Linked DNA regions of Macaca fascicularis. The protein of the gene in region 1 interacts with the protein of each later gene in a pairwise test. Links are inferred from orthologs where the notes say so. Each region holds a gene or a part of one and is shown in the gene's direction. Other genes may lie near its edges.

Region 1 (5,170 bases):
TGAGTTGAAAGGGATGAGCTGTTAACCTATAGCCAAGACCCTGCACCAGATCAACAGCTTCTGGAGTCTACCATTGTTCTTTGGGTCCTCCCTGGGTTCTTCCCAATTTGTCTGTATTTTTGCTTTGATTCTAAATGGTTTAACTTTCTGCTGTTGTTTTTCGATTTCAGCAAGAGCCTCCTGATCTAGCAGCCAAGACTGCCACTGACCTTTGGCCATGTACCCCAACCCTCTCATCTATTGCACCTGCTGGGACCCCTGGAACTTGGGACCACGGAAGCTAATCAAGACCCCTCAACTACCACACAAGAACTCCACAGGGAGGTCCAAGTAAGAATTATCTGGGATGGGGTAGGCACAGGGACCTTGGGATCCATTTGTAGCCTCATTTCTTTCACAAGATTTCTAAAACAGCAAGTGTGGTAGCAAAATCCCAGGTGGGCCAGAAAGCCTTGCTTTCTCCAGCTTCCCTGCCAGCTGGTTGGCTGCACCCTCATCTTGCCAGCCCTGCCTGGGATTTTTGCCATTTTAAATGAGGAAGTCTCAGTGTTGGTGCAAAGGCAAAGTACGGCTTCCAACCAAAGGGCCTTGATGGCAGCTGCCCCCTCCATGTGGGATAAAGAGCTTTGGGAACTGGGGGACAAACTCTTCCTGGGACAGTGAACAACTGCTAGGGCCTTGGGCCTGAGTTTTAAAGGCCTCAGATTTTAAAGATTCCAGCTGTCAGAACATGCATTCCAATTTTGGGTCACTATAGGGATGTACTTAATCTGGGAGTGTTAAAAAGGGTTTCCAAATTTCCAACTTTTTTGTTTTAATTATTGTTTTTCACTTTCAGGCTAACTCCTCTTCTACCAGCTCCAAAAAATCACAATTACCTCCAACCAACAAAACCTGTTGTTTCCCCAAAGTAAGTATTGTTTTGTTTTGTTTTCTGTTTTTGAGATGGAGTCTCACTCTGTTGCCCAGGCTGGAGTGCAGTGGCGCAACCTCGGTGGCTCACTGCAACCTCCACTTCCCAGTCTCAAGAGATTCTCCTGCCTCAGTGTCTCGACTAGCTGGGACTACAGGTGTGCGAGTCACCATGCCCAGCTACTTTTTTGTATTTTAATAGAGACGGGGTTTCACCACGCTGCCTAGGGTGGTCTTGAACTCCTGAACTCAAGCAATCCACCCGCCTCGGCCTCCCAAAGTATTGGGATTACAGGCGTGAGCCACTGCTCCCAGCAGTTTGTTTGTTTGAGATGGAGTCTTGCTGTGTCACCCAGGCTGGACCACAGTGGTGCCATCTTGGCTCAATCCAACCTCCACCTCCCTGGTTCAAACGATTCTCCTGCCTTAGCCTCCTGAGTAGCTGGGATTACAGGCACCCATCACCATGCCCAGGTAATTTTTGTATTTGTGGTAACAACGGGGTTTCACTGTGTTGGCCAGGCTGGTCTTGAACTCCTGACCTTAAGTGATCAGCCCTCCTCGACCTTCAAATTGCTGGGATTACAGTCGTGAGCCACTGCTCCTGGCCTTAAGTATTTGTATGTCCGTGAGGCAGAAATGGTTTAAGGCATGTGAATAAAATAATCTCCCTCCCACCTGGCCTGACTTGAACTAATTGATGCCAGGGATGTTAGAGAATTGCCAGAATCCACCTTGATTTCTCGCAAACCTCAGATCCTACATGTAGATTTTGGGGTCCTCTGCATCCACAGCTTCCAAAGTCATTGCATCATTTGATTCAAAGTCACTGTATCAACTGCTCTCCACAGGGGTGCCCTCAATAGCTCTTTTCTGCCCTCGAGCCCAAAGCTTGATACGCCCTTTTGTCACAGAGCCTTGACCCTCCCATGCATTTAGGGTGGTGACCCACTCTTTAGCTGATTACTTTCCTGTGTCTAAGATTTTCTGTGGGTTGCATCTTGGTTTTAATCACAAATTAAAAATTTTACTCACATTTTACAAGCTTAGAAATGTATCTTAGTTTTAGGTCTTTGTATGAATCTTTGTATTCCATTAATTTTTGGAAAATATTTATTGAACACCTATTATTTATTAGGCACTGTTTCAGGTGCTGGGAAAACAGCCAGAAACACAATAAAGTCTCCACTCTCCTGGCACTTATCTTCTAGTGAGGGAGGGGAAGAGGACCATAAACTAGTTATTACATCTGAGGTTGGCAAGTGCTACACAGAAAAACAATGCAGGCAAAGTGGGAGGGGCTGTGAGGGTGGGGATACTTTATGTAGGGAGGTCGGGCGAGTCCCTGTGTAAAGGGGACAGAAGGAGCCTTGATGATTCCTGGGGCAAGCACTCTTGGCAGAGGGACCAGCAAGTCCAAAGGTCCTGGGGTGGGAACTTGCTTGGCATGTCTGACCTCTTCCAGGAAGGCAGAGGCCAGTGTGGCATGAGCGGAGCAAGTGAGCAGGGAGTGGTGGGAGATGAGCTCAAAGCAGATAATGAGGTGATGGGTGTGGTGGGCAGGACAGTGACCCCCTCCCAAGGACGTCTACACCCTAACACCCAGAGACTGCAAATATGTTGCCAAAGAGGAATTAAGGCTGCAGATGGAATTAAGGTTGCTAATCAGCTGACCTTGAGTTGGAGAGATTATCCTGGATTATCCCAGACCCCATGTAATCACAAAGGTCCTTCTTTGTACGTGAAAGAGGAGGTCAGAGTGTCAGAGTCAGAGAAGGAGCTGTGACAACAGAAGCAGAGGTCAGAGCGATGCAATTGCTGCTGGCTTTGGAGATGGAGGGAAAGGTCACTGTGAACATATACACATATATGGTATTCATTTTTTATATAGTATATATAAAGATTTGAATGAAAAACAAGTTTAACTTCAACGTTTGTATCTTAATGGGATTCATTTCATTATCTGGAACATTTGTTTATATAGAATGTTTCATTCTCCAATAAAGAGAGTTCCTTACAGTTCCCTGAACTGAGTGTGTGTGTGCCCGTGTGTGTGTAAAAGGGGGGCGAGGGGTGTCACCTGACTCACAGAGCCTTGACTCAGGGAGAATATGTAAGGGTCCCTCTAGCTGGTTTATGCTCCTCCAAAACAGAAGTTGCCCAACATCATAGGACAACTCTTTTGCCTCCTTGGGCAGGACCTTTTCATGAGCGCTCCCACTTTGGGGCCCTCAGGAGCCCGGCTTCAGTGAGTTCCCCAACTATCCTAGGGATCCCCTAAGAAGGTCAGGTCAGAGAGCAGAAGTCAGATGGTGGCGGCCTCAGGGTTCAGCTCCTAAGCTTTGAACTTCTCTTTGCTGTCTGGTTGCTTTCTGAGCATGTCTTTCTCTTGCAGAAAGAAAATCCATGCAGCAAGGCAAGAAGAGAGCAATAAATCATTTTATGTGAGTAAAGGCAGGAAGAGGGTGGTGGGACTAAAATGTATTGAGCGCCTACCATGTGCAAGCGTGGGCCTTTTACATTTTTATACTTACCTTGTTGAATCTTCACAAAGATCCTGGGAGGAGGTGCTGTTATTATTGCATATTGTGCATGGCAGGTAAGTGTAAGAACCACGACTTGAACTCAGCTCAGCCAGATTCCAGAGTGGGCATTTAATTGCCACTCTCTCCTGCTTGCACAAGGCAAACAGAGTGTCCCAGGGAAACCGGACATGACAGCTAGTCCAGGCCAGTGAACAGCTCATGCCCAGATGCAGGAAGCCCTCTGCTGACCTTGGGAAGTCACGAATGCTGGGGAGAGGCAGCCGGGACCCCTCAGGGGAGCAGGGGCGGGAGGGCACTAGAGAAGGTGATGGGAACCAAACTCTAAGGATCTTGGTGCCTACCTGGGAATGTGGGCCTGACCCTTCTGGTGTCTGGGAGCCTTTACTGGTCTTACACAGGCACAGGACCAAGTAAGAGTTATATTTCAGAAGAAGCAGTCTCTGGTGGGATATAATTGATACATTTTACTGTATTCTGTGTTTATCTAGTTTTTGTTTGTTTGTTTGTTTGTTTGTTTTTAAATACCATGCAGTCCTTTAATGGTTAGGGAAAAAATGTACAAGCAAAAATATAATTGCCCTCTAGGTGGAGAGGATGAACTGTTGGGGAGCAAGAGTGAAGGCAGAGAAGTCAGAGTCCAAGAGAAAGATGGTGGTGGCCTGGGGCTGTCAGGCAGGGGTGTGGAGAGAGGAGGGTGATTCAGAGAGACATGAAGGGGTGACAACGGCAGGGCTCAAGGGGCTGCAGCGTGTGCTGTGCAGCTCTCAGAGCCCCAGGGCTTGCCCTGGTCCAGGCCAGCGGAGGCCCTGCCCAGGTTTCTGACTTGGCATCTAATGGGAGAAGGAGGAGGAAATGACATTTTGTTTGCAACGATCCTAGTCATTTTCTCATATGTTGTTTTGTTTTTCCCTCACAAAAGCCATTTGAGAAGGAGTTATTAACCCCACTTTCTGATGAGAAAACTGAGGCACAGAGATGCTGGATGGCTATTGTCTGGTGGCAGAGCCAAGATTTACTCAGGCCTCTGTGATTCCAAAACCTGAGCAGTTGCCGCATGCCCACCTCCAGCCACAAGGGTGAACACAAGTGGCAGGGCAGGGGCATCAATGGCTTGGTGTGGCACAGAGCTTGAGAGGCCCCTAGGGACACCCAGGAGCCTACTAAGCGTCAGGTTTGAGTCTCAGAGATGTGAGGATGAGCTACAATGGGTGAAGGGCCCACAAGGGCGTGGGCTCTGGAGTCCCAGGTCCCTGTTTTTAAGATGTGAGTGAGGCAATAGGAGAAGATTTGGAGAAATCTCAGCACTCCAAGTCTGCCATTTTATCCTACTTTCCCTTGATGCCTAGGAAGTGATCAACGTGTCACCTGGCTATCAACTTGTTCGGAATCGGGAACAGATTTCTGTCACCTTAGGGGATGAGATGTTTGATGGGAAAAAGCGGTGGGAATCGGAGATCCCGAACAAAGACAGATTTTCCAGGTAATGCTGTTGAACCAACATTCAGCTGCTTGGGGCTACTCCCACCAGCTCAGCCTGGCCTCAGGGATAAGCCAAAGCCACTATGCCCACACCCAGGCCACTGGTGCCTGCTCTGGAGGGGCCACAAGGGCACCCCCCTCCCCACCCCTGCTTCCTGATGATGCATCTCTCCACATCTGCCTCTCTTTCCTCTGATCCCATCCGTGAGCAGATCCAAGGGGCAGGATGAAGA
Region 2 (5,170 bases), on another chromosome or scaffold:
AGCGGGGCAGAGGAGCTAAGGAGCAAAGGCAAGTGGGAAGGAAGACAAGGAATGGGCAGGGGCGAGATTTAACACAGGAGGGTTGGCCGGATGCAGTGGCTCACACCTGTAATCCCAATGCTTTGAGAACCTGAGGCGGGCGGACCCCTTGAGCCCAAGAGGTTGAGGCCACCATGAGCTATGATGGTGCCACTGTACAGCCTGGGCAACACCTCAAAATCCTGTCTCAAAAGAGAGAGAGAGGGCCAGGTGTGGTAGCTCACACCTGTAATCCCAGCACTTTGGGAGCCCAAAGCAGGTGGATCACTTGAGGTTAGGAGTTCGAGACCAGCCTGGCCAACATGGTGAAACCACATCTCTACTAAAAATACAAAAATTAGCTGGGCACAGTGGCACATGCCTGTAGTCCCGGCTACTCAGGAGGCTGAGGCAGGAGAATGACTTGAACCCAGAAGGCGGAGGTTGTGGTGAGCTGAGATCGCACCACTGCACTCCAGCCTGGGCGACAGAGCAAGACCTTGTTCCAAAAAATAGAAAGAAAAAAGATTGAACCACATGAAATGTCTGTATTCAACCAGTCTTTATTTATTTGTATTTATTTAATTTAATTAATGTATTCAGTTTTGAGACAGAGTTTCGCTCTTGTTGCCCCGCCAACCAGTGTTTATCTTAAGACGGTAATTTTCGCTGGACATGGTGGCTCACGCCTGTAATCCCAGCACTTTGGGAGGCCAAGGTGGGCAGATCACCTGAGCTCAGGAGTTCGAGACCAGCCTGGCCAACATGGTGAAACCCTATCTCTACTAAAAATACAAAAAAATTAGCCGGCCATGGTGCGGGCACCTGTAGTCCCAGCTACTCGGGAGGCTGAGGCAGGAGAATCGCTTGAACCCGGGAGCTGGAGGTTGCAGTGAGCCGAGATCACACCATTGCACTCTAGCTGGGTTATAGAGCAAGACTCTGTCTCCAGAAAAAAAAAAAAAAAAAAGGTAATTTTATACGGTTTTCCCAAATGTTGTTATTATCCCTATTTTATCGACGAGGAAACTGGAGGTTTGTAATTTCAGAGAGGGTTGATAACTTGCCCAAGGCATATGGCTCTTGCCTGCAGACTCCGTGGTTATTTTTTTCCACCCTGGTAACTTTCTTTTAATGGAAAGCTCCAGAAAAGGTGTTGGTACTACTCCTCCCCCTCTTTTCCAGCAAGCTTTCTTCTCCAAACCCAGAACTGGGCCACAGAGCCTAACAGCTTCTGGGCTGCTCCTGGGTGTGAGGTGCCGCCCACATGTTAAAATTTCTGGGACACGTCAGTGGTTCAAGAAGATAAAGAGATGGAAGGTTATGAAACCAGGAATGACCTGGAAAATAGGAGCCGTGGGGTTGGCGGAGCTGACCAGAGGGCTGACCGTGCTGGGCGCTACGTATCAAAAGGCAGCGATGGCCGGGCGCAGTGGCTCATGCCTGTAATCCCAGCACTTTGGGAGGCCGAGGCAGCTGGATCACTTGAGGTCAGGAGTTTGAGATCAACCTGGCCAACGTGGTGAAACCCTGTCTCTACTAAAAATACAAAAATTAGCCGGGCATGGTGGCACATGCCTATAATCCCAGCTACTTTGGAGGCTGAGGCAGGAGAATCACTGGAACCCAGGAGGTGGAGGTTGCAGTGAGCTGAGATAGCACCACTGCACTCCAGCCTGGGCGACAAAGAGAGACACAGTCTCGTAATCCCAGCACTTTGGGAGGCCGAGGTTGGCAGATCACCTGAGCTCGGGAGTTTGAGACTACCCTGACCAACATGGAGAAACCCTGTCTCTACTAAAAATACAGAATTAGCCAGGCGTGGTGGTGCACGCCTGCAATCCCAGCTACTCGAGAGGCTGAGGCAGGAGAATCACTGGAACCCAGGAGGTGGAGGTTGCGGTGATCCGAGATTGCACCATTGCACTCCAGACTGGACAAAAAGGGTGAAACTCCGTCTAAAAAAAAAAAGCAGAGGGGCAAAGGGGAGGACTAAGGGCTCCGGGAACCTGAGCTCCTCTCTGGCTGTGTGACCTTGGACAAGTGTCTCTCCCTCTCTGGGCCTCTCTTTACCAATTGAGATAATGACATTTCCCTTGCAAAGCTGATGGTGGGATCGGCACAAATGTATGGGGGGCTTGGATCAGAGCTTGGTACATACTAGACACTCAGTAAGGAAGGTGATATTTGAGCTGCAGCCATGGCAGTGGCCCTTCTGGAAGCCCCGTGCCAAGGCCTGGAGGGAGGAATGTGTAGGGAATGGTGAGTCCCAGAAGGAGAGGGTGGGACAGGTATTGGAAGAGCTGAGACCAGACCACATCTGCTCTTTTTTTTTTTTTTTTTTTTTTTTTGAGATGGAGTCTCGCTCTGCCACCCAGGCTGGAGTACAGTGGTGAAATCTCAGCTCACTGCAACCTCCACCTCCCAGTTCAAATGATTCTCCTGCCTCAGCCTCCCGAGCACCTGGATTACAGGTGCTCGCCACCATGCCCGGCTAACTTTTGTATTGTTAGTAAAGACAGGGTTTCACCATGTTGGCCAGACTGGTCTCCAACTCCCGACCTCAAGTGATCCGCCCGTCTCAGCCTCCCAAAGTGCTAGGATTACAGGCGTGAGCCACTGCACCCGCCCCACTTCTGTGCTTGAAAGCTGGGTCTGGGTCTGGGTCTGGGTCTGGGACTCTGTCCCAGGGCACTCGGGAGCCACAGAAGAGTTGGGAGCCAGTGAGGAGCAGGGTCAGTTTGGGTGTGGGGGATGAGCTGGAGGGGGATGAAGACTGGAGGCAGGGAGGTTATGGAGCAGCAGGCTGGGGCATGGGTCCAGGAAGGAGAGGATGAGGCCTGAGCAGTGCTAGGCTACAAGGGCACAGAGGAGGGGACATGGCAAGGGGAGGCAGGTGGGAAGGGACAGGTCTGATGACGGGACAGAGTTTGGGGGTGAAGGGTACCCAGAGAGGGAGGCCAGGCTCCTAGGTGGATGGGATCCTGCACTGGGAGCTGGGGGAGGAGCAGGTTTGAGATGTAGACCAGCCAATGCCTGTCTCTAACCAAAGGAAGGTGATTCCGGATAAGGGGATGCTCTGACCTCTGACCCTGCTGTGACCTCTGCCCCAAGCCCACCTATTCCCTCCCACCTAGAGAACCGTCCAAAGACAGAAACTGCAAAAACCCTTAGAGGCAATATAGCCCAACCCCTCAGCTTGGAGCTGGGGAAACTGAGGCAAAGAGGCAGCGTCCCTCAGGCAGCCCTGGGTTAGGACCCAGACGTGCAGACCCCAGGTTCCATGCTCCTTCCTTGGCCAAGTGCCCTCCCTCTGCTGACCCGTCTCCCCTGCCGGCAGGACTTACAGGGCTCCGTGCAGCGCATCTGCGGGTTCCTGGGCCGTCCGCTGGGCAAGGAGGCACTGGGCTCCGTCGTGGCACACTCGACCTTCGGCGCCATGAAGGCCAACACCATGTCCAACTACACACTGCTGCCTCCCAGCCTGCTGGACCACCGTCGCGGGGCCTTCCTCCGGAAAGGTGCGGGGGCTTTGGGGTTCGGAGCCCACTAGGCCACTGCCTGGCTGTGTGACCTGGGAGAGTTACTTAACCTCTCTGGGCCTCAGTTTCTCACCCAGCTGTAACATTGGGTGAACAGGGTCACTGTGGCCCCAGGGTTGATCACGCACAGGGCTTAGCACTGGCTTGGCACACGTGCCAGCCACCCGAGGCGTCCCCACCCAGAGAACTCCCAATGAGAGCAAAACGTCCAGGAGTACTGCCAACACCAGGTCTGCCCGAGAGAGGAGATCTAGAATCTTCACAAATCCTCCTCCACGGCCATGTTCACGGCAGAAATACTCAAACTTTGGGTTATGGGGTGCAGGCGGCAGCGCAGTTGTTTCCTCTTCCTGATGTAACGAACACCGCAAACTCCATGGCTCAAAACGACACACGTTTACTCTTTTTTTTTTTTTTTTTTTTGAGACGGAGTCTCACTCTGTTGCCCAGGCGGGCTGGAGGTTGCAGTGGCGCGATCTCGGCTCACTGCGACCTCCGCCTCCCCGGTTCAAGCGATTCTCCTTCCTCAGCCTCCTTGAGTAGCTGGGACTACAGGCACCCGAAACCACATCTGGTTAATTTTTATATTTTTAGTAGAGACGGGGTTTCACCATGTTGGTCAGGATGGTCTCAATCTCCTGACCTTGTGATCCACCCGTCTCAGCCTCCCAATGTGCTGGGATTACAAGTGTGAGCCACCACGCCCGGCTTTTTTTTTCTTTTCTTTTTTTTTTTTTTGAGATGGAGTCTCGCTCTGTCCCCAAGGCTGGAGTGCAGTGGCTCAATCTCAGCTCACTGCAACCTCCACCTCCCGGGTTCAAGCGATTCTCCTGCCTCAGCCTCCTGAGCAGCTGGGATTATAGGCATGCGCCACCACACCTGGCTAATTTTTGTATTTTTAGTAGAGAGGGGGTTTCACCATGTTGGCCAGGCTGCTCTTGAACTCCTGACCTCGAGTGATCTGCCCGCCTCAGCTTCCCAAAGTGCTGGGATTACAGGTGTGAGCCACGGTGCCCGGCCCCTGTTTTTTTAAATATGTTTTTAATAAGGACAGGGGTCTTGCTATATTGCCCAGGCTGGTCTCAAAGTCCTAGGCTCAAGCAATCCTCCTGCCTCAGCCTCCCAAAGTGCTGAGATTACAGGTGTGAGCCACCGCGCCTGGCTGCATGTACTTTTTTTTTTTTTTTTTTTTTTTTTTTGAGACGGAGTCTCGCTCTGTCGCCCAGGCTGGAGTGCAGTGGCCGGGTCTCAGCTCACTGCAAGCTCCGCCTCCCGGGTTCACGCCATTCTCCTGCCTCAGCCTCCGGAGTAGCTGGGACTACAGGCGCCCGCCACCTCGCCCAGCTAGTTTTTTGTATTTTTAGTAGAGACGGGGTTTCACCATGTTAGCCAGGATGGTCTCGATCTCCTGACCTTGTGATCCGCCCGTCTCGGCCTCCCAAAGTGCTGGGATTACAGGCTTGAGCCACCGCGCCCGGCCGCATGTACTTTCTTAACATTTCTGGAGGTCAGGAGTTGGGCTAAGGTCTGTCTCCCTGGGCTAAGCTCAAGGTGTTAAAAAGGACATATTTCTTCTGAAGGCTCTAGGGGAGAATCTCTTGCCTCACCTT

The links. The genes of interacting proteins can lie anywhere in the genome.
Region 2: the proteins of FLACC1 (region 1) and SULT2B1 interact in binary tests that used the Homo sapiens proteins (3 or more experiments, as listed by UniProt). The two-hybrid records come from large-scale screens. The link is inferred for Macaca fascicularis from reciprocal best matches to the Homo sapiens genes FLACC1 and SULT2B1.

Annotation. Positions count from the first base shown.
Region 1 is NC_088386.1:97,118,392-97,123,561, reverse strand, and holds part of FLACC1 (flagellum-associated coiled-coil domain-containing protein 1), read left to right. Parts: intron 1-170; 5' UTR 171-217; coding exon 218-330; intron 331-838; coding exon 839-910; intron 911-3,307; coding exon 3,308-3,356; intron 3,357-4,804; coding exon 4,805-4,938; intron 4,939-5,170.
Region 2 is NC_088393.1:56,586,372-56,591,541, forward strand, and holds part of SULT2B1 (sulfotransferase 2B1), read left to right. Parts: intron 1-3,358; coding exon 3,359-3,539; intron 3,540-5,170. UniProt on the Homo sapiens protein: Sulfotransferase that utilizes 3'-phospho-5'-adenylyl sulfate (PAPS) as sulfonate donor to catalyze the sulfate conjugation. Responsible for the sulfation of cholesterol.